Caenorhabditis elegans: one gene and its partners. The protein of the gene in region 4 purifies or fractionates together with the protein of the main gene of each other region. This does not show direct contact. Each region holds a gene or a part of one and is shown on either strand. Other genes may lie near its edges. The genes, in order: mig-10, wsp-1, chdp-1 and ced-10.

What was found.
Region 1: the proteins of ced-10 (region 4) and mig-10 purify together in Caenorhabditis elegans (affinity purification with western blotting, with the first as the bait; one study listed by BioGRID). This does not show direct contact.
Region 2: the proteins of ced-10 (region 4) and wsp-1 purify together in Caenorhabditis elegans (affinity purification with western blotting, with the first as the bait; one study listed by BioGRID). This does not show direct contact.
Region 3: the proteins of ced-10 (region 4) and chdp-1 purify together in Caenorhabditis elegans (affinity purification with western blotting; one study listed by BioGRID). This does not show direct contact.

Annotation. Positions count from the first base shown.
Region 1 is NC_003281.10:8,277,526-8,282,120, reverse strand, and holds the start of mig-10 (Abnormal cell migration protein 10), read right to left. Parts: upstream 3,014-4,595; coding exon 2,940-3,013; intron 2,477-2,939; exon of another isoform or gene 2,385-2,476; intron 1,683-2,384; exon of another isoform or gene 1,546-1,682; intron 13-1,545; coding exon 1-12. UniProt on the Caenorhabditis elegans protein: Required cell non-autonomously for proper development of the excretory canals and for the long-range anterior-posterior migrations of embryonic neurons CAN, ALM and HSN.
Region 2 is NC_003282.8:8,188,374-8,195,167, forward strand, and holds wsp-1 (CRIB domain-containing protein), read right to left. Parts: upstream 4,823-6,794; 5' UTR 4,780-4,822; coding exon 3,720-4,779; intron 3,145-3,719; coding exon 2,998-3,144; intron 2,761-2,997; coding exon 2,652-2,760; intron 2,604-2,651; coding exon 2,334-2,603; intron 1,881-2,333; coding exon 1,685-1,880; intron 1,637-1,684; coding exon 1,373-1,636; intron 1,328-1,372; coding exon 1,205-1,327; intron 1,150-1,204; coding exon 973-1,149; 3' UTR 531-972; downstream 1-530. Other genes in the region: pct-1 (Cyclin-dependent kinase 17), read left to right, coding at 1-62.
Region 3 is NC_003279.8:6,283,002-6,289,854, forward strand, and holds chdp-1 (Calponin homology domain-containing protein), read left to right. Parts: upstream 1-1,971; 5' UTR 1,972-2,006; coding exon 2,007-2,372; intron 2,373-2,686; exon of another isoform or gene 2,687-2,898; intron 2,899-3,346; exon of another isoform or gene 3,347-3,571; intron 3,572-3,662; coding exon 3,663-3,821; intron 3,822-4,034; coding exon 4,035-4,352; intron 4,353-4,425; coding exon 4,426-4,599; 3' UTR 4,600-4,766; intron 4,767-5,923; 3' UTR 5,924-6,337; downstream 6,338-6,853. Other genes in the region: C10G11.6 (Verprolin-like), read left to right, coding at 6,432-6,478.
Region 4 is NC_003282.8:3,505,788-3,511,386, forward strand, and holds ced-10 (Ras-related protein ced-10), read right to left. Parts: upstream 3,741-5,599; 5' UTR 3,707-3,740; coding exon 3,602-3,706; intron 3,322-3,601; exon of another isoform or gene 3,172-3,321; intron 2,814-3,171; coding exon 2,722-2,813; intron 2,455-2,721; coding exon 2,269-2,454; intron 1,785-2,268; coding exon 1,592-1,784; 3' UTR 541-1,591; downstream 1-540. Other genes in the region: srz-83 (Serpentine Receptor, class Z), read left to right, coding at 1-46, 95-328; tsg-101 (Tumor susceptibility gene 101 protein), read right to left, coding at 4,687-4,817, 5,405-5,599. UniProt on the Caenorhabditis elegans protein: Required in engulfing to control the phagocytosis of apoptotic cell corpses. Required in embryonic development for the correct positioning and orientation of the mitotic spindles and division planes in blastomere cells.

The DNA of each region.
Region 1 (4,595 bases), on a different chromosome or scaffold from region 4:
AGCAGGGAAATGCTGTAAAATGAATGGAATTTATTGGGAATGCTTTCATGTTTACATAAACGAGAATGCATTCTTTAAGTGGATCAATTTGAAAAATGGAACACATCAATGGAATTTAGAAATTTGTTGTGTTTCTCTTAGAAAGTAATTTTGTTAGAAACCTCTCCAAATGGGAAAAACTCAAATATCATAGTAAATCTTTTCAAAAAACTTGTCTGAATTTTTAATTCAAATTGTGTTGTGAAAACTTAGTTTGCACCTATCATAATTTCAAGTGTGGCAGATTTTTGTTTCTATGAGTTTTTATACTTTAATTGCCTTTTTTTTTATTTGCATATATTGCTCTATTTCAACATTCTGAGGACGAACCAATGCTCGAAATTACTTAGAATGCCCATATTTTTGGAACATTTCGTAAATTACCAAAACATTGAATGTAAGTTTTTTAAAAATTGAAAAAAGGGCTTTTCTGAATCAACTTCTCTATTTTGAATTCACATTTAAAATTGAAAGAATATTTCAAGTTTCTAGAATTGAAAAGTAGATGGCACTTCATAAGAAAAGAAAGAGGAACAGGGAACAATCTGCCAACATTTTTGATGAATTGCTCCCAAACAAAGAGTGAACGACAGCATTTTGATGGACAAAGAGAGAGTCAAAGGGGTCAAGAAAGTGAACATACTCTACCATGACAAGGCTGTTCTCTTCTGGTGATTCAAAACTGAAAGGTTTGAAGCAATTCGAAACTGACGGAAAGGACACGCTCCGGTAAAAACGATGAATGAACATCAGAAATGGAACACACATGGCAACAACACGGACCGATGAACACCTGGCTAGCCACGAGGATTTGCCGGATTTTCGAGGATTTTAGTTAGTTCATAAACAAATTGGGGTTTGGATGGTGTTAATTAGAAATTTTTTGATAGTTTTTTGTAGAGAGGGCTTGAAAACGTTATTGAAAATCCATGTGAGCTATATAAAGTTTTTTCAACTTTTTGATAGATGATTTTCTGGTTAATGTTTAATCTATGACTTGTATATTTTTGTTGTTTTTTCTATTTTTTCTATTTTTCACAGTACAAAATTATTTTTAAAAAATCTATTTAGAGATTCAGGAGAAATGATATCAATTTTGGCAAACTTTCATAACTTTTAGACGCCATTGCGAAATTTTACTAATGGTTATTGAAAAATAATCGTTTCGCGGACTTGAAGTTATGTAGCTCTTTCTTTCTTGTCATTCTTGAAAAAAATTCACCAATTTTCTCCGTTTTTCTTCCAACTTACTTAGTATCTTGGTTACCTTTTCCTAGACCTCCCCGACTTTCAAACTTAATTAGACCACACTTGCAACTATCTTTAAAAATTCAGAGAATTTCACTTTCATGGCCAAGAGCAGCAATAAAAGTCAGAAAAGTGAAAGAAAAGAGAAATAGAGTGCAACACAGAAACAAGAATGGACAAGAGAACGGACAACCCATTGTTTCAGAATGTCGTTCCTTTTCTCTGTGTCTCTTTTGAATTCATACACATGTTCCATGAAACATGCTCGCGCACAGATTGAAATGAACAGAAAGAGACGAGGAAGAGTGCGAATGATTTATTCATCAATGCTCTGGTATGTTCAGAGCTTTGCAACAAATGAAAAAGAGCACAAATGGAACATTTCTGAATAATATTGATTCGTAACTTAACTTTGCTTCATAACTTTAGAACATCTTGAAAAAATTGCACAAAAAAGAGTTTTGTCTGTCGTTTGGGAAGTAGAGTTGCGTTGTGGAGACATTATTTTTCCTAGGGCTGAGTAAGGCTGAGTAATCTAGTATCCTACCAAATAATTTAGATAATTTTTTAAAAAGGCTGCGGTTTCTTTGGAGAAATTACATGAAATAAAAAGTTCTGAACACTTCAACACACATTCAAAAGTTTTGTTACATTCCGATCTAAGCTATAAGTCATATTTTTGGAAAACCAACAAAAAATTCTGAACGAAAATCCAGTAGGTTTCAAGGAAAACCGTACAGCCAACAAGAAAAGATCATAGAAAATCACATCTGGATGGCCTTCCGTTCTATTTCTTTTGCCGGATTGTCACTAAATCATCTGCGAATGATAAATGACCGTAACCAAAGAAAACTAATCAAGTGTATAGAATACGGGAAATGAGGTCATTGGAAAAAAGGCCTAACTGGAAATTAGGCTGAAGCTACTGCTAATACTAGTGTTACGAAACACGACAAGAAAAAGTAATCAATTCAGAAGCATCGCCAATAAACCAACAAATAGAACATATAATCAAGTTATCTGAATGCACGAGATAGGCGTAAAGGACGTACGAACATGCCAGCTTAGAGATTATAGGAAATTGTGAGTCACAGACAAAAACGCAAGTTGAGATAGCAATCTTTTGCTCGATGAGGGTGAAGGTCCGGTCAACTGATGACCACTAAAGATAGACACAACATACTACCAAAGCTTTATAAAAACGAATAATTGGAAAAATAGGAAAATTTGTTAGCGATAAGAAAAATTTGAATTATCCAAATGTGAATGTAAAGATAGCCTGCCAAATTTGAAAAAAAAACGCATCTTTGTGAACATTTTACAAAACTACAATAAAGATGGTTTAGCTTTTGTCAAAACATACCAACAAAAAAAACACTATAATTTTCGAAACACTAAATGTTTTATGATTTTTGGAAAGTTTTATTTTTCCGTTCTTCAAACTATTCAGTGACTCGATTTTTTTCCAAACCTTTTTTCTATAAAATAAAAAACTTTACCCATTTTCCATTTAACATCTAAACGTTTCAAATTGGCTAAGATCAAACGGCAAACACTTGAAAAGTGTGCATAAGGTAATTACGAGAAACCATTTGGGAGTCAAGTGTTTACGGACCACTGACATTTCTTTGGTTACCACAATAAGAACTCACCACTTTTCACCAAAAAGTTGATCTTCTTCGTCACTGTCAACTTCCAGATCGCATTCCTCTTCGCAACTGTCCATATTGGCTGAAATTTTGGAATTCAATCTTGAATAAATGTAACAAAAAGAAAATGGATCTTCTGAGACACAAAGTTTACCGGAAATGTACATGTAGCTTTGTTTTAGAGTTGAAACTTGAGAAGTCGTATAAGAAAGAAGGAAAAAATTGGAAGGGAAAGGAAAACTTTAAGGGGTCAAAAACCTTTTTTAAAGAAAAAAAACTGAAAAAATTCGTCAAATCAAAAAATCTAGCATCAAAAATTGCTCGTTTTTCGACTTTTAGAAATATCCAAAGTATTTGCCCAAACTTGCGCAAATAATATTTGTATACTAAATTCTGAATATCTAGTTTTCAATCAGCAGGAAACAGACTTTTATTGAATTTTTTTCATAGATTTCTCTAGTTTATTGTCACAATAAATCCACTTTTTCTAGTCTTAAAAATATGTATTGTATGTAGAACAATCTTTTTATTCTCAAGTTAAAAAATTATGAACCCTTGCAATCTAGAAAAAATTCAAAACACGACTTGTCAAGCTAATCCAAATAAAACAATAACAAAAACAAAATTGAGATTTCCGCTCTCTAAATACCGTATTTTCCTATGTTTGAACCACACTACTCTACATTGACGGCTTATATTTCAGTGGTTTAAGCTCAACGAAAAACTGTTCAACTATACAAATATAGCAAATTATTTGACACCTACTTTTACAGTTTAAAATGTCTCAATAAAATATAAGAAGACCGAGATATTTATGAGTTGTTAAAGTAGAGCAAAGTGATGCAAGGCCAAATTTGAGTGTGTGGTCTAAAGTTTTTAAGACAGAAGGAAAACCCAATTGACCACTAAATAATCTACACCAAATTTTCTTCCGTCTCCTCGAAAAAACAACAACATCTGCATAAAAAAGTGATTGACCTTCCCTCTGTCGGGATCGTTGCTAACAAAGTGCAAAAGCGATGATACAAGTCAAGGGATACCCCCCTCCCCCGCACAACAACAAGAAAGAATAAAAAAGAAGGCGGGGACAGCAAAGAGGGACACATATATCTCTTCCGCGCGGAAAGAAAGCGGCAAAAACGTACTAATGCGCGAGAAAAGAAGCAGAAGAAGCATATAATGACCTTTTTATGATAAAGTCTCGTGGGACAACCGGACCATCAATATGGTATTGAGTATAGAATATGCAAATTTTGGTTGAATAGAAAAACGAAGAGAAAATGGAACAGAAGGAGAGTTCAGAGTGCGCAAATAATGGAAGGAACGCGCGTAATCTGGAAGAGTTGACATAAAAAATAAGAGGATTATTCATAATTGAGTCGCTCGGCACGATACGGTAAGGAAACTATAATGAAGAAGATTACAAGACAATCAAAACTAGAACTTTTAAAAAAGTTTTCAGAAAAACTTGGTAGCAGTAAGGTAGTTATAGGTAAGTAAGGTATAGAGCACATTCTGAAGTTGGAAATTTCAAGTTTTTTTTTTTTTGAAAAAAAAGTGAAGTTTCTGCTGAAACCATAGAAAACTATAGTTCAAATTTCCCGAAAATAATTACAGTTAGCGTCGCCAAGTTTAGCCAAGATAAATGAGTATTTTATG
Region 2 (6,794 bases), 4.7 Mb from region 4:
GTCATCATCGTGGAACTCTTGTAAAAGATAAATATCGAATGCATTCGAGTCATCACACTTAGAAATAATTTTCTCAACAAAAAAAAACATATTTAGAATTAAATTTGTTTCTTTTTTCCCCATTTCATCTCAGATTGTGTTGCACTTTTACGGGTTCTTGTCAACCAATTCCGATTCGTTTCCTCCCAACCAAAATGTCCTTCCAATGCGGTCACTTATAGATCAAGATGTTTATGAAACATGTTTCCTAATAATTTATTGTGTAATATTTTCTCTTCATATCCCGAGACTCCATCATTCTTCTTAGAATTTTTCCCGTTGTTTCCCGTAACCAGTAATAGCGATTTTCAAATTTACATTTTCTGTTCATAAATCACACAAAAATCTACAAAAAATCATCTCATAATCTCAATTTGTTCCCAAAAAGCACACAGAACCATTTTTTTTGCTATTTATTTTAGCCGTTATTCTTATTGTACACCTGTGAATAAACAAGCTCTACCCGGAAAGCTTCTACTTCTCATCGAATTGGAAACAAAAATTATTTATGTGGATACCCAGAAAAATGATAATATGCAAAAAAATTATGAGCGTTTCTGCTGTAAGTCTAAAAAGGGACAATGGTTTTGGATGAGAGGGGAGCATCACAGAAAAATCTACGGGAGAAAAACAAGAAGACTGGTTGAGTTTTAAAAGTTTGTTGGTATTTCGGGTGTGTGGAAGGGGGCTTACGAAGAGAAATTCACACGGAATAGGCACTGATTTGGAGAAAAAAAAAAACTAAATGCACAAGTTTTACAAATTCGTCACTTTCAAAATGTATGATAATTTATCTTGGAAATTGACGATTCTGTAATTTTTCAAATCAAGAATTGTACTTGAGGGACTAAAATTACCCTGTTTCACACGGGATTTGCACAGAAAAAGGAAACGAAAAATGGAAGGAAAACAAGTTTAATGAGATAATTTAGTCTAATCTGACCATTCATTTTTGTCATCTTCATCGTCATCATCATCACTAGTATCATCTATTCCCATATTCATTCGACGTTCCTCAAGAGCCTTTGCTAGTGCTCCAGCCAATCCTCCCATTCCAGCGGCTCCAGAAGTCGTACTCTTTCGACGTTCTTGCTCAGCAGCTGCATCCACCTAAAGTTTAAAAAAATTGGAATCAATAGTAATTTTCGGTTAAAAATTGTCTTACATGTTTTAATTGTGCTCCTTGTCGAATTTGGGCCATCACATCTCCACGAGCATCACCACCAGCCGATTTTGGTGAATCTGCAGTTTGTTGAACGGATCGAAGTTGTTTTCCAGCTTGGATTTCCTGAATACAAAATTCAATAGTGAACATTTTTAAAAGTATACTAACCGCTAGCAAATTCGATCTTCCATCCTGAGCAGGTGGTAGTTTTGCGAGCACCGATGCAGGTCCTCCGGCTCCTGAAGGTGGTGGTGGAGGTGGAGGGGGTGGAGCTCCTGCTCCTACTGCTGGCAATCCCATCGGTGGTGGAGGAGGTGGTGGTGGAGGAGCTGCGGATGATATCGGAGCCATTCCAAATGATTGTGGTGGTGGAGGGGGTGGAGGTGGTGGAACCGCATGTGGTCGATTCTCTGGGGTTCCATAGTTGGGCGCCTGAATATAAATTAATTTTTTTCAGAAAATCACTCTCCGGTTACTTACTTGAGGTAAAGGTCTTGATGGTGCAATTCCACGGGTACCAGATGACGGTGGTGGAGGAGGTGGACGAGCTGGAGCCAATCCATGAGATTCGACACGTGTTGGAGGTGGAGGAGCGGCAGGTGTGGAATATGATGAAGCACCGCTTCCAATCGGAGCAGATGATGGGAATGATGGTTTGTATTGACGCACTGGTGTTCTGAAAATTTTTTTTTCATTTAAAAATAAAACTTTTTTGTTATCGTATTTCTAATATGGCTGAAATACGCCCTCACCAAATGCAACACTAATTTCATTTCTAATATTTCTAGTATTTATATTAAATATTTCATAATATTTCTGGTTCTCAGCTACAAAAAACAGTAGTCGTAAAATATATTCAAGGGTTAACTGTAACAGAAACATATTACTTTTAACTTTTTTTGTAAGTTTGCGGAAAAAAAACTACATCGAAAGCATTTCGGGGGAGAATAATTGGGATTGCGTTGCCATTACTCTTTTTCATGGTCCGACATCTACCGGGTTTCGACTCACACAGCGCATATGCATGTATCTTCACAGGGGCGAAACCCAGTAGATGTCGGACCATAATTAAATTTATTTTTTCTGGTTTGGAGTTATTTTTTTCCGAAATGAAAACAAAAAAACTAACTGATTCCATGACTGATTCATCTGTGGATGTTGCTGAATTGGTGGTGGAAGAGGTGATGAGATTTGTGATGGATCCAAACTTCCAACAGATACATATTTATCATAGTTCTTGGCAATGAATTTTTTCACGAATTTCTTATCATCCTCATTCAGATTATTGCTTTCCAATCCAGCAGCCTTTAGAATATTTTTAGTAGCTTCATCCATATCATCGTCGTAAACTGTATTCGAGAATCCACTATCCTGATTCCATCCAACATGAGCTTTATGTCTGAAATATTTAGTTTAATTTAAACCATTAAAACGGAATAAATCTCACTGAAAGTTTGTTGGATTAGAAATATCCTCTTTCTTAATTTTCGATTTTTTATCCTTCTTTTTGTTTTTATCTTTCCGGAACCATGATCCACTACTGCTAGCATTTCCATCTGTAAATATTGAAAATATTTAATTAAAATTAATGTTATTTTTTGAAGAGATTTCTCACCAAATTTATGTAACAATCTTTTCAATTTATTAATCATTAAAATATGAGCAAATTTTGCAAAGTATGCATAAGAAATGAGATATAAAATGTGATTTTTTTTAAGTTTACGTAATTTTATTCAGAAATTCAATTACTGACTACGAGAACATCATTTTTCAATTTCCAAAAAAATATTCACCTGTATGTGTATGTGATTGTGGTGCAGCAGCCATAGTTCCCATTTGTGTTATCCCTTGACCTCCGCCAATTGCCATTGGAGGTCCTCGAATTGTTCCTCCATAAGCCTGTGTGATTTCGAATTGTCGTGTTGGAGTGGATCCGATTCCTGAAATAATAAATTATTAAATATAGAAGTTCTCACTGTCAAGTGCTCTGTTCTTTTTCATTTCAATTCGATCACCCAATCAGTTAAAAATCATCTTTCTCTATTCTCCAGCATTTCTGCTCAACAATGATGTTCATGTGCTCTGAGCGCTTGAAGCCGATCAAGTACTCGGTCGGCGGTGCTCATAACATGACATGAACACAAATAATCGGTCCGAATTTCTCGCCATCCTGGGTTGGATGTTTGCTTTCCAAATTTGTGTGAAAAACTCTTATAGAACCAGATTCTGTCTATCAAATTGATCAACTCAAAGAAAAAACGATAATATGGAAAGATAGTGATCAAGTAAACAAAAATATTATGATAAAGTGCAAATACACATCATGAGTTCAACTTGTTGACACTTCCTATACTTTTAGAAGTTTCGAAAAACTAAATTCGTTTTTAAATTTTCAAGCTTCACAAGCTGTGTAATTTTTGGGAGATTTTAAAAGGTTTTAGAAACTATTGTAGAAGAGTAAAAATGATGAGGTGAAGATTCAGACATCAGAATATTTAAAGTCTGTAAAACAAACCATTAAGCGAAATTGATGTCGAACTAGAACTTTTCTTCACTAATCGATGCCTTGCAGGTGGATGAGATGGAATTGGTGGTGGAGTATCTGCTTCTACAGATGATGGTGTTGCACTGCTACTCTCTGTACTACTATCACTTCCTCCAGAACAGTAGATAGGTTCTTCTTTCTTTGTGACCATAACAGATACTTGACCATTTGATCGATGAACTAATACGGAATCAGAATGAGGTGCAGGATCAGGATTCATCGATACTGATTCATAATCGTCGTCTTCGTCACCGAAGTCATCCGTATTGAATACGTGTCGAGAACTCACATAGTCACCACGAGATACTGGTTCTTCTGGGATATGAAATCGTACCTTATTTCGAGAAAGTGGGGGTGAATAGTCTGGATCAGGACTCGGAGCTCTATGTCGACGAGGTTCTTGATGATGATGTGATGATCGATGACGAGGTCGGAATGCTAGCTGCTGTTGTTGCTGCTGATGATGTTGCTGTTGTAGTTGCTTTTGTTGATTGTGATAGTAATAGAATGCATCAGCAGATATTGGAACATAACATCTTGCATAGTTCTGACGCCTTGCATATGTACCTGTGGATCCTCCATACCTTGTTGAATATACTGGATCTTGGTATTCTGCAGATGAGCTTGTTGAGCTTGACGTGGAATCAGGACCTCCATAAGTCGAATAATCATTTACATTGTCATATTGTTCCATTTCATAATATCCTCCATTTGGTAGAGTATGACTCCGATGGGTAGTACGAGGTGAGGATCCCATAGAATCAGGGAAGCTAGAGCATCCTCCACGTGCAAAACGTTGCATATGGTTATGGTGAAGATGACCGCCAGTACCGGAAGAGGAAGTGGAGGATGGAAAGGACGAATAAATTTGAGCCGCCGACGAAACGGTTGACGGTTTATTGGACGACGGATTGGTTGTCGCAGACGGTGGCGGAGGGTGGGAAGGAGGAGGAAACGATTGAGCGACCGGCAGGTTGTGGTACTGATAGCGGAGGCGGCCGGCCGGATCCTCGCTTACCACCATCCACATGTTATTATTCTTCGAATGGCTACTACTTCTGATACTTCTGAAAGAAGGCGAAAAAGATCGTCGCAAATTATGGAGATGAAAGCGAGAGAAAAAAGAGTATATGGGAAATGTCGAAAGGTGACGTTTATGGAATCGAAAGCTGTGAGAATCGGAATTTTCAGGTCATAAAATGAAGGAATGGAACAAATTCACTTGAGATATCCGAGTGATGTGTGAAACAATTGAAAGGAGAGATGTATATAAGGGTTCCAAATTATACCTCTAGTTGACTTCGAAAATGGGCATTCCAAAAAATGTTGCATATTTACGCAAGCATAATTTGTAACATCCTATTCTTCAAAAAATCTTGCTGAAGTCTGATGAAAAGTGAATTTGGAAAAAAAAACGTTTGCATTTCTAAATCTTTTAAATTGCCATGACTTTCTGATTGGCGTACAAGCACTTAGTGATTCGAACGGATATTCAGAGAATCATAGAAACAGAACGAAATGAAAACCGTCATAATACACATCATTATTGTATACCGTTTCGCCTCTTCACACCGTTCGGCTTCTCTCCCTCTAATTTTCTCTCTCGCCCAATCGTTTCGATTCGGAATCAAATTACACAACACACTACCACAGTTTGGCGGCAGTGAGATGTGCATATTGACAGAGGAAACAGATGTAAATATTAATTGAATTCCTAACAACTATCTATTTCTATTCAAAAAATGATATTTTTTACATATTCCAAAAATTTTCCATGTAAGAAATGAATAGTAAAAGTGACCGAAATGATGGGGCGAAAACTGTGGGGAGGTGAACTGAAGCACTTCTCTTCTCACGAGAGTTAGGCGGAGTCAACACCGATGAGTATGTGTATGTGTGTATGTGCTGCCCTGAACCTCTAACGGAGAGAGTCTCAATATAGTTAAACATTAAAAAACTGAGAAATAATAAGATAATGTTTCTATTAGTTTGTGACTTAGGTGTCAATGTGTGGCTACCAGAAATACTTTGTAAGAAGTATCGTAATTTTTTTCTTGAGTTTACAGTACTTTTATAGTAAACGAGACACCGTTCTTAAGGGTGATCCTTCAAATTTAAAACAGCGGTAAGACTGAAAAAACTAAGATTTTACTTTTTTGTTTGAAAGCGTGTACTTCAACACAAAAATTATTCAATCATCGTTTGACTACTGTCACACCCGCTAACAACAACACGTAGGAACAGCTACACCTCTAGACGTCAATAATGACATTCGGAAAACGGAAGGAACAGCCAGTTTCACTTATTATTAAATAATTTCTACACTTTTTTCACATCTGCTTGTGTTCTGTTAACAGATTTTAAAGATATACTATGTTTCAAAAATAACCTGCGCCAAATACAAAACTATATACGAAAACCTAATTATAACTTCCTCTCAAGTGTCGACTTCTCAAAAATTAATGCATGAACATAATACAACCGCATAGGATTGCTGCAGAAGAAGAGATGGAGACTTGAAGCACTATTGTAAAAAAGAGAAGAAAATAAAAAGTATGAAAACCTTATAATTGAACCAGTGCTCGTTCTTTGTTCAGATTGAACATTGTAGAGCACAAGGCACGGGTAAGATCACGTAGATCTCCATTGAATCCTGTACTCGTCTTGTCCTACTCCTTGCTCTTTCAAGTGGCCCGCTTTTCACATGCGTCGATTGAAAGTGGCTCATGCTTTAGAGGAACACAAAACTGAGATTCATGATAGGTCAGAACAAATTTCTATTTTTTCAAATAGAATTTTATAGATTGTAAGCAATATAACTTCGAATCAAGTGACACATAATGACATATCGTATTGTAAGTTAGGAATACAGTAGACTACAGTAAGACCATTCCGAGATATCAGGTACGTTTTAATAAGTTTCAATTTCAACTTTTTTTTCCGATTATCTATTATAGTAAATGACAATTTGTATTAATTTCAATGGATTGGTCATTTCAAAAAATTACCGCTCCAGAATAATAGAATAGAATAATACGATCGAGA
Region 3 (6,853 bases), on a different chromosome or scaffold from region 4:
TAGCAAAAACAAGCAGACGGTACTTTCAGGTGACCAATACAATTTCTTTTGTTTACCTGATACTGACGAAAATTCGTAAAAGCTTCTGACTAGCGCAATAAATGTGTCATTTTCCAATCAGTCACAAAAATCGACAAAATAAATCAGAATCCTTTTCATGTTTTCAGTATCTGCAGAAAGTATCTATTGCTAGGCCCTTTCGGGAAGTGTAAAATGATAATGATTATCAGAGCATTATCAGTTTTCCTAACCGCCATGAACATTGAGCATTGCACCGCTTTTATCAGTTATTACCGTACTAATTGTTTCCGCTTTAGATAATTCCGTTCTATCATCCGATAAAATAGCGCTAAATAATTCTTCAACCTTTTTATTGGTATGAACTCGATGCAATGCTTTCAACTCTCAAATACCCAGTAATTTTGGTTGTCATGGTTACATTCGATTGTGAACCTTCAAAAATTATCTGTTTTCAATTTCATCACTCAAGCAGCACACGCAAACATCCATCCAGCGCGGACACCCGCCCCACAAGTCAGTAGACTCCGCCCAAATTTTCCGTCCGCTATGAGAGACGGGAGAGGGACACATTTGCCGCTGCTGCTGCCGCAATGGAAAGGGACGTTTCGGTGGCTGCTGCCACTGTGTGCATCATTGCGGTTGGGTGGTGTGGTGATGGTGCTGGTAATGGTTGACGATTGGACCACTGGCCTTGTCCTCTTTTTCACTGCAAAATGTGTGCAATACCCCTGCTCTCATATTCATTCATTTCGTCGCCCACATCCATTCCATTCGTCTTTTCTGGACATTTCTTGTTCTCTTTTTGACTCCGCCTTTTTCTCGATTTCGTAATCTATGTTTCCTATGTTTCTCATTTCGAAATCATGAATGACTCATGCTCTGAAGTTCGGACTTCTGTTCATTTCACTTCTATTTGCTTCATTTTTAAATTTAGTGTAGGTGAGAACAGCAACGACTGAATCAGAATCGAGAGCAAATAGGGGGCGGGCGGCGGTTCGATATATCAAATGACACGGAGGTAGACCATTCAAAAAGGTAAATGGTGTTAGTGGACCCTCGCCTCTCATCTCATACCGTCTCTTTCTCTCGTCTGAATAGTCTTTTTGACACACTTATTGTCGTTATGAAATGAATGTGAATAGAGGAAAAAAGGAGATTGAATGACCCTTTTTCGCCACCTCACCTGCTGAGTAAGAACCGGTTATTCCAGAATAGTGAAAGGCTCTTTTGGTTTCTTTTCTTAAGCCTTCTAGTACTCTACCTTCCTACATTTATTGCCTTTTTTCGTCCAGACGAATGTTTTCCAGGAAAAGTGAGCGCTTCTTATCTCGTTAGCATTATTCTTCGATTCAATTCAAGTCGCATATGACTAGTTCTTCTTTTTAAATCATAACCTAAACGCGCATTTTCTCTTCATGACCTTTTCCCGCAATTTGAGCATCGATTGACTGTTCTAGCCCCCGCAGCGTTCAGCGTTCCGCGTACCATCTAGTCTCTTCACACAATCAGTCTTACATTATTGTCCCTACTATAACATCGTCTTCTCTTTCTTTTTACATTGTCTCACTTGAGTTCTTCGTCTTTTTTTGTTCTTCTCATCTATATCCACTAAAACCCCATTCTTGGAGACGGTTCTAGAATAGAAAATGAGTCCTCGACAGAGACGGGTGCAATTAGTGTCCAAGCGAGAGAGAAGCTTTTGCTCATTCCGGTTTTGTCTTTTGCCTACCAAAATGTGCTACCCCGGCTTACTAGCGGCTCGCTACTGGAGACTCTATTCGATTACCCCCGTAATTGAGTTGACTTTCATGGTAGTCTTCTGTTTTTCCCCATTCCATTTTCTCATTTTTCTTATTCTCCTCTCCAACTCGTCTATTTCTCTCGTATTTTTTCTCCATTTTTAGCTCTTTGTTTCTCCGAATACCTCGAAAATTAATGAGTTTCTTTCAGTCTCAGTTCTCTCGTCACTAACCAACACATCAACTATGTCTGAGGAAATCAAGAAGATCGAGGAGGTCGCCGAGCAAGACAAGGCTCCAAAGGTTCCAACCACCGAACCACCAGTCGATGTTCCAGCACCAGTTACTGAAGAAGCACCAAAAGTAGAAGAAGCTGTCGCTGAGATTGCTGCCCCAGCTGCTGCAGAAGGAGAAACTGCCACCGCTGCTGCTGCAGCTCCAGAAGAGAAAAAGAAGTCTGGAGGTGTTGCTCGGCGTTTCACTTTCAACAAGAGATGGGGAAAGCACCGTGATGCGGAAGCATCCACTCCAAAAGAGCCAGAAGCACCAAAGGATCCAAAGGAAGACGTTCTCGGATGGATTGCTCAACAGATTCCACAGGCTGTTCACAAGGTAAGAATACTTTCAAAATAACTAAAACGATTCAGGGCAGATGGTATTCTCGCTAGAGCAACCGAAACGCAGGTTTAGTATTCACCCTAGCATAACAGCTGTTTCCGATTAGCCCCCATTCTCACCAGTTACCTTTGAATTCAAATTACCGCAGTTCGATTTTTTAAGAATCATAGGTGAATTCATTGGAATGCCTAAAAATTTCTAGGAATTGGCCAAAACGATGCATAAGTACTTTTAACTAACAAGAACCTATCTGAAATTTGATCCTGAGCTCACAAAAAAGTTTGGAACAAGTGCATTTTCCCCTACTCCTTCACAAGTTCATTAAGTCTATTCATCAACATTTGCAATGTATCGCTCATTGGTATTTGCAAGGTTTTTTGTTTGATCGCGCCGGCGAGATTGGCGATGTGCGTCGGCACTCTGTAAAAGGGCAGCTGTGCCAATCTTTCCTCGTTCCGACGCTCGTATTGCTGCAGACCCCGTAGAATGGTGTTGTAATGTAACTAACTGTGTGTGCGCGCGCACCGGATTCGCTATTGCGTAACTCTTTAGGATAATGAGAGGCAGATATTGTAGATATCCTAGAAATTGACAGACGTTCGTAAAAGTTATAAAATCGATGTTGTCTGGTGACCAGGATATTTACACGAATTAGAAATAAAAAGATGTGTGATTCGACTTTAAATTTTGAATACTCACAAAAATAATCCCCATGGAAACGGAAACAAAAATACATGACGAAAAGTATTTATATTTCATCATAATTTCGAAACATCTGTTTTATACAATGAGATTCACAAAGATTAGCATGTATGAAATCTCTTTTAAAGTCTGAATTTCGCAGGAATTTTGAGAGAAGAAAGTTTAGAAGCTATACAAAAAATTGGGTCAATTTCCCTAGACATTAATCCTGAACAATTGCTGGTTCAGTTCGACAGCCATTTTTTGTTGGTACACAAGATGAATTCGTCCTTTTTGCATCTTCTTTCCCAAAAAAAAAGGAACTCATTGGTTGAACCGCGCTGCTGCTCTGCTCCTCCTTTCTTTGTTTCTTAATTCTGATGCAAACGCACTTCTGTTTTAGTGGTTGCCGTCTTTCTTGTCCAGCACGAATGAGAATGATCTCTTATATGGAGGCTTGCAACATTGAGAGTGCTCTCATGGGATTATAGCAGAAAGAACTGGTATTGGATATTTGCGTCTTTTTTGCACTGAGAAAACAAATTACATTGGAACGTTCTTTTTTCGGATTCTTATTTTGGTCATTAAAGTTTTATTTTTCAGGCCAACTACCAGGTTATCGACTGGGTTCAGAAGACAGCTATCCCAGAGGAAGGAGAGCGAAAGACCATTCCGGGAAAAGATCAGGCCACGACTCGCAACCAATTCATTGGATTCTTCAAAGATGGAGATGTCCTCGCCAAGCTGGCCAACGCTCTTGAGGTATGTTAATTTCACTTTTCTGATAAGAATATATGGGGTAATGATGATGATGATAAAATGTGATAAGTGATATGCAAATAGGTCGGAAGGTGCATTATCAATTAGCGGTATTTCCGTTCCGACATTGATCGGAATTCGGAAATATTTTGAGATCTATTATATGAGTTAATTAAGTGAGGGATCTTAATCATGAAAACAAATTAAAATTTACAGCCAGGAGCAGTTGAAGTCGCTGCCGCTGAGGAAAACGCCGATGCTGCAGCCCAGAAAGAAGTTCAGAAGAAGAACATTGATGCCTTCGGAGCTTGGGCTCAAAAGACTCTTGGAACCGAGGCTGCTCCAGTAACCAACGAAGATCTTCTTGAAAAGGGAAAAGCTGGATACACAGCTGTTTTCCAAACTCTCTGGCAACTCGGAGTTCAGGCCAAGGAAAAGTTTGACAAGGAAGGATTCAATGTTGACACCATTGTTCAGCTTGCAAACTCTGTCGTCAAGAGCGGATTGTTGACCACAATCCTAGGATTCTTCAGAGTGAGTTATATTCTAGATTAATTTTCAATTAACTTTTGTTTTTATTTTTGATAGCTAATTTATCTTGTTTCAGAGAAATCGGCAAGCTGCTGCTGCTGTAGAAGAGCCAAAGGATGAGACTGCAGCTGCGGAGGGAGCCGGAGAAGCAAAAGAAGAGGGAGCTACCGGAGAAGTTGCAGATACCGCTGATGAGCCAGTTGCAGTGAAACAAGAGACTAGTGCACCGGCTGCCGTCGCTGCAAATTAGAAATCTGGAAGAAGTATTTATCTTTCTGTAATTTCTAGTCCGCATCTCTCTTTTCCACTATCGTGTTCCGGTATCTCAACTGTTTCCTCCGCCTCTTCATTCCAAATATTCAATGTCTCTTCCTCGAAACGATGATGATAGCTCAAAGAAGAAATGTGCTCTCAAAAGTAAGTGTAGTACAAAAACGATGACCGTCTGGCGGGATGTGTGTTTGAGTAACGGATTTATATGCATAAAGAGTCCTTATTTGGTCTCGGTTTTGGACCGTTTAGTGTAGCGCGGAAGTGGAAAAGTGTACTATTGGACTTCTCGTTCTACAAAGCGTGTGCTCACATTCCATCGGTCGGCGTGCTCTTAATGAGAAGACAAGTGTTGGTTTTGTTTTTGGAACTGGGCCAAGTCTCTCCCATTTCTATTTTCTCTATTGAGGGAAAATAGTACAAATGAGAGAGGCAATAATTAGGAAGCGATGGACAATTATGGGTCACTGAGCACCACAAAAGGACCGCCTTTCTATAATTAGAAAGGTGCAAACATTCTCTATGTAGACATACCTTGATTTTAATTTTATAACGCTTGAGTTAGTTCTAGAAACTCTTTAGAAAATTTCTAACTGAAAGGCGTAAATTTCTTGAGATTCTCTCGGAAGACAAAACAATAGGATCAAAGTTTGGACATTGATTTTTTTTACCGAATCCTTGGAATGATGTATTTGTCCTCCGCCAAACTTTTTTTTAAATTTCTCGTCTTCCGTTTCCTTCTCGCTTGAGGATCCCAAATAGGCGTGGAATTGGAGACTGTAGATCAGATTATACCTCTCATTCACATTTTCGGAGGCGAGTCCTGTACAAAAAAAGCGAGAAGACCTTGACTCGGTGACCCTTTCAAATTGTCTACCGTCTCTTCTATGGTCCGTACTGCATCGTGACTTGTTTCCTGTCGTCATCATACAGGTCAACCTTACCAACCGATCCTAAGTAATTTGAGTCGGAAGAAGTGGTTGAGAGGGGTTCGTAGGGTGTCTGGTGTGGTAGATTGAACTGTTTATATTCTAAAAGGGCAGCTGAGAAGGACCTTGAGAATATAATTGTTTATACTAAAAAGTCACGAGCAGCCACAGAAAATATCCTTTTTTGAAGTAATTGGTCATCAATTTCTGCTCGCTGACAAAAAAGGTCCAAAATGGTCAATTGACAGATGATGATATTTAACGAGAAACGGAAAGGGGTTCTGCGCTTATTTTTAATGTGCCGTTGAATGCAATTATTCAATTATCTGTGAAATGAGGATATCAAGAAAAAACTAATAAATTTAATTATTTCAGCACTATCTTCAATCAAAGCAATCATCTTCATTTCGATGTCGGCCGGGCAGCAGCAATCAATTTTTAAAAAATCTTTTCTCTAAAAGAAAATCTAATTTTGTTCATCGTTTTACCATTCTTCATTTCAACCAATTTTCTCACCTAATAAGACTTTAATAATCGATAATTGATCTATAAAAGTCTATTTTTCACCAATCTCTCGATTCATCAAACTTTTTTTGTATTTTGATAACTATTGTCTCAGCTTTCTCTTTTTGTGCTTTTCATCCTCCAAAAGTGTGAAGCTCATTAAATGAGCCTTTCCACTTGATTGATTCGAGATTTTTCCTGTTTTTCCAAAGTTCAATCTCTATTCTCTCGCTTTTTTCAACTTCAGTTTTTTCTCATTTTTCGAAATAAATAATGGAACCAACCAATTCTTCTTCGTTGTGCATGTTGTTTTTGAGTTAACATTGGTTCTAAATTTATTTTAAATTAAAAAAGTTCTAAATACAGTTAAAATATTCAGATGTTTTCAACAACACCAATTAAAGAAGAATCATGGAGACATGAAGGGTAAGAAATTATAAAAAGTTCTAAATACAGTAAAATAATTTTTTTCGCAAGGAATTGTAATCTTACTGTCAGTTGTTTTATAGAAATTTTGAAGCATCTCAAATATTTCAAGCCTCCTTTCGCTAATTTTTTGTGAATCAGATTAAATATTTTTTGTTTTAAGAACTTAACGTTTAAATTCAAGACATAAAAAACTCGAGAAATCTTAGATAAAATACGCAAAAATCGAAAGAATTTTGAAATTATTGCTTTACATGTCGCGACCTTCAATTGTTTCTAATCGTAGACCCAAAATTTTGCGATTTTTGAGCCAAGAACACGGTATTCGGTCTCGGCACGACAATTTCTCGTTAAATGAAAAATAGTGTGCGTCTT
Region 4 (5,599 bases):
AAAGTACATTTTCTGGCAGGCAGTCACTGCGCTAATATTTGAATCGGTATTTAGTTCGATGTAATTCAATTTTATTTTTTGAACCAGTTTTCAGTTCCCAATCATATTTAGCACTATCCAGTTGTTACATGGTTCTTGTGGGTGCTCTTTTGTGGTAATCGCTACCTTAGTGAGTACTCTTATAACTCCGTTGACTATTCAAGTTCCGTATTTGGGAAGCAGAAAATGGATTGGAGATTCATCGGAAAAAATCAGTTTGAAAAGATTTATCAAAGTGATTTTGGGGATCAAGAGTTTCAGCGTCAACCCACACATTAACGATCAATGAACACACACACGTGCTTGCTGGGTGGCCAATGCCCGGGGACTAGAAAACTCCTAGAAATCTAGGTTTTCTAGGCCACCGAGAAAACAAAAGTTCGGAAATTTTTTAGGATTTTTTTCATTCATTTCTGTGTCCGATTAACAAATGTAAAAAAACTCAGAATCTGAAATTTTTGATCGAAAGTTTCAGAAAAATCTGTAATCTCTGCAACTTTTCGAATTGTTTTTTTTTCCAATTTTTCCATCAAAAAATGTTCAAATTTAAAATTCCATCATAGAAAAAAAGTGTGGTAAAATATCATATCATCATATTAAAATAGCATAATAAAAGTTGGACAAAAAGAAGAGAAATTAACAATTAAAGTAAGAAAAAAGGGAAAAAGAGCCGAGTTTGTTGTTCAAATTCACAATAGAAAAAAGAGGATTTTTGGTTGTGGAGAGAGGGTTCGTTGTGTCCTAAAAATTACAAAAAAAAATCGAAAGTTTTTGAAAAAAAGTTTCAGAAAAATTCCAAATAATTTTTCAAACAAATTCCAAAAAGTTTGAACATTTTTTAGAAAAAATCGTAGAGATTTCCAAACATTTTCAGATTTTTCGAAGAAATTTCACAAAAATTTCGAAGAAATTTCAAATAAAAAAAATAAACCGATAAAAATTAGAGAGGAAAAAGCACTTGTGGTTTTTGGGGAAAAGTTATTCAATTTTTCAGATGAAAAAAGACCTATTTCAGGTGGGAAAAGGGGAAAAGCACAAAATTATGAATGGACAAATTGAGCATTTTTCGGCTCAAAAATGAGCACAAAATATGCTGAAAATTGGGGTGGATAAGTAAGAAAAGTATCACAGCGAGTTTAAGATGAAAAATCGTTGATACAAAACAAATTTTTAGAGATAAAAATAGAGGGGGAAAATGAGAAAAAGTGTGCTGGAAATTCAGATTTAGAGAGTGGAAACGCCCAGATTTTGGACAATTTTCTGGAAAAAAATCGAGAAATTTTCGGCTGAAATTGAGCTTTTTCAGTGGAAATTTGGCCGATTTTCGGTTAAAAAAAATAGTAATTTTCAGCCGATTTGGAGCATTTCTTTGAACGGAAATCGGCGAGTTTTTTGCCTAAAAATGCTCAGTTTTTGCCAATTTTTACTCCCTAAAAACCGGTAATTTCACAGCAAAATTCATCGATAAAACAAAAAAAATCCAGATGATATATGTATATATATAGTTAAAATTGTTGTAGTTTCTGCGATTGTTTGCTCCAATTTCCCCATCTTAGAGCACCGTACACTTGCTCTTTTTGGCTCTTTGTGGCGGCGTGAGCACGGCTCGGATCGCCTCATCGAAAACTTGTTTCAGACCACGTTGCGTGAGCGCCGAGCACTCCAGATACTTGACAGCCTTGATTTCCTTTGCCATCACGTAGCCCTGGGTTTGGCTCACTGGTTGGAGCCGGCGTTCGCGGAGCCTGCAAAAAAAATTTTTTTTTTCGGAATTTTTGCAAGTTTTCTCGATTTTAAGCCAATTTTGTTTAATGTGCTTTTTTTCAAAATTTCAAACTTTTGTCCACAATTTATGCGAATTTAGTGCAACTTTTTACATTTCTTTAGCGATTTATCTTAATTTTAATTTTTTTTTCAACATTTTGAGCAAATTTCTCAAAATCTTGCAAATTTTTTTCCAAAATTTTATGTGAATGTTGTGCTATTTTACGCAACTTTTCATACAATTTTTGCAATTTTTTTTCCTGAAATTGATGCGTTTTTTCCTTATTTCTCATTTTTTTGCCGTTTCTAATGATTTTTCTAATGTTTTGGCGGTATTCCTTCAATTTTTAAGTGATTTTCTGAATTTTTATGCGCTTTTTCGAATTTTTTGGCAATTTTTCATCATTTTCTACAAATTTTTCACTTTATTCCTCAATTTTTCTCTCAAATTCTCCAAAAATCTACCGTTCAACAGTATCTCGATCCTCACGCAGATCAGCTTTCGTTCCAACCAAAATAATCGGCGTATTCGGGCAATGATGTGACACTTCTGGATACCATTTCGCACGAACATTCTCAAAACTCGCCGGATTGTTCAGGGCAAAGCATACGAGAAACACGTCTGTTTGTGGATATGACAGTGGTCGGAGTCTGCAAATTTTTTTGGTGTTGAAAAATTGATAATTGGGGTAATTTTTAGTGCAAAGTGCGAAAAATTCCATGTTTTTCGAGTTTTTCACCACAAAATAGCTTCAAAATCACTGTCATTTTATGAAAAATTGGATGAAATTTTCTAAAATGTGATATTTTCCACATTTTGATTGAGGAAAATATCACATAATCCTGAGCAATTTTTTATTGAAAAAACCCATAATCCTGAGTTTTTTCGAGCATTTTCAGTTTTCCCGCTGCCCGTACCGATCGTAATCTTCCTGTCCAGCTGTATCCCAGAGCCCGAGATTTATCGGCCGACCGTCGACCATCACATTTGCTGAGTAGTTGTCGAATACCTGGAAAAAATTTGAATTTATGGGAAAAAAGCATTTTTTTGGGAAAAAGAAGACACCTTTCATATTTTTTGCGGGAAATTGTGCGCTTTTCAAAATTTTCAATTTTTTTGTTGCAAAAAGCCTACAATTTTATTGCATTTTTAAAAGTTTTTTGAATCAAAATTTTCTAGATTTTCCGTTTAAAAAAACTGAAGTTTTTTGAAATTTTCGACATTTTTTTTTCAAATAAAAATACCAATTTTTATATGAAATTTCACCATTTTCCCAGCTTTTGGTATAAAAAATATTAATTTATTGATTTTTATGGGAACAAGTTGACAATTTTCATATTTTTCAGCAAAATTTCGCTAAAAATGTGTTTCTTAAAACGATTTTTGCAGAAAACTTTTTTATCGCATTTTGAAAAGTTTTTTGTCTAGATTTTCCGTAAAAAACGGAAGTTTTAATTTTCATACTTTTCAGTGAAATTTCACTTATTTTTTTGATTAAAAAAATGTACTTTTTAAAACGATTTTTAGCAAAAAAAATTTAATTTAAATTATTTTTTATTTAAATGTTTTATAAATCAAAATGTTCACGATTTTCAGTATTGATAATTTCACTATTTTTCCCAGTTTTTGGCCTAAAAAAATATTTATTTCAATGATTTTTGGATCAAAATACAACAATTTTGAATATTTTTTGCCTAAATTTCTTTGTTTTTTTTTTTCGATTTTGTGTCAAAATGTCCTATTTTCTGAGCCAAAAAACGTAATTTTATCTCAATTTTTGCTTTAAAAATGACTCACCGTCGGAATATATTCTCCGGGAAATGCGTTTGTGGTGTAGGATATCAGGAGACACGTTTTACCGACGGCTCCGTCACCAACGACGACACATTTGATCGCTTGCATTTGTGGGGAGCTCCGCGAGCACAAGCACAAAAAGCTGGAAAAATTGGCTTAAAAATAGCAACAAAAAAAATCTATCAAAAATATTGAAAAACCGCCAAAAATCACGGTATTTTGAGCGAAAAAATCAGAAAAAAATGGGGGGAAAAATCACATTTAAATTAAAATTTTTGTACAAAAAATAAATGAACAAAAAACCTGAAAAAGTCATCGAATTTCGAGAGAAAAGCGAGCTTTTCCCCCGGGAAAAATGGGGAAATGGGTGCAAAATTGGATATTTTAAATGGGGAAAAATCTAGAAAATTGTGTCTATAAAACGGAAAAAAAGAGAGAGAGAGAGAGAACAAACCAAATCACAACGGGCATCAAGACGGAGAGAAAGGGAGTATTAGAGAAAAATGGCGGCAATGGGAGAAATTTTGAAATGAGAAGATGGAAAAATGAGTGAAAACCGTAATTTTTTTGACAAAAAAGTCACTGAAATTCGTCGTAATTTACATGTTTCGGCTGGAAAATCGTCAAAAAAAGAAAGCTTTTTTCGAGGTAATTTTCAATAGAAGCTCCATCATTTTTAACGGGAATTATTGAAATTTACAATTTTCGGCTGAAATTAGAAGATTTAAGTGAATTTTTAACGGAAAAACATGTAAAAAACTTGAAAAATCACGGAAAAGCACCGAAATTTTGATGTTAAACAATTTTTCATCAGGAAAATAAATGAAATATGGAATTTTTAGCTAAAATCGTTTTAAAAAAATGCATTTTTCTCGATTTCTCAGCAATAATTTTAAGTTTTTCGTCAGAAAATCGCTGAAATTCCCACTTTTTATTGAAAAAAGTATTTTTCATCCAAAAATCGAGAATTTTATCGAATTTTTAGCATTTTTATGGACAATTTTTCACGATTTTCCAGTTTTGGTCAAAAAATTAGCAATTTTTTCTCAAAAATTTCCACGATTTTCAATCCAAATTTTATTTAAATTTTAAATAGGAAGACCAGCAGTTCGTCGACATTTCTGCATTGTTGCTCGGTAGATAAATTGCTCTCGGGACACGTCACGAACATGGCGGAGGTATTCGGCAAGTGTTATTTGGCGTTTTTTCAGTGATTGACCTGAAATTTTGAAGATTAGGCAAAAAAAAAATTTCTCATAAATACCATAATTTTTTTTCGTTTTTTTTTTTGCTGGATTTCGGAAAAATTTTTACACCGAAAATTTGCTGAAATTCCAATTTTCAGTCATTTTCAATAATTTTTCTATCAAATTTCCGCAAAAAAAAAACACTTTTGCTAAAATAAAACCGAAACTGATTTTTGAACGATTTCAACAAAATTTTGGAGTAAAAATGGCTGAAAATTGTTCAGAAACTTCCAATTTTTTGTAGTTTTTGTGAATTTTCTAGAATTTAAAGTCAATTTTAACTAATTTCTGTTTTTTTTCGGGGGTTTTTGAATGATTTGTAGTAGTGCTAATAGACGAAATCGTTGAAAAATTTCAGAAAAACGCTTTTAATTTGGCTTCAAATCTCTCAGAAACTTCGAAAAATCTCAACTTTAATTTAATTTTTTTGAAACATTTTCACTAGTTTTTCTTAATTTTCAACTTCTGCATTTTTTGAAAACAATTTTTGCACATTTTCCTCAGGATTGAGCAATTCCAGCTAGATTTTTCCAATTTTTCCCAACTTTTCGTTCCATACCAAGTGAATAAATGACGTCATCACATGTCAAATCTTTCGCATAATTGAGCACAATTTGTCGGTGCAACGGAAAAGCGGCATCAATTGCCTCATCAATTGGTGGAGCATCAGTGCCTCCAGCGTCTGAAAGAGCTTTCGCGAGCTCTGCTTTCTTTGCCGTATAGATTTCACAGGCGGTCTGAAGGCTGCTCCGTT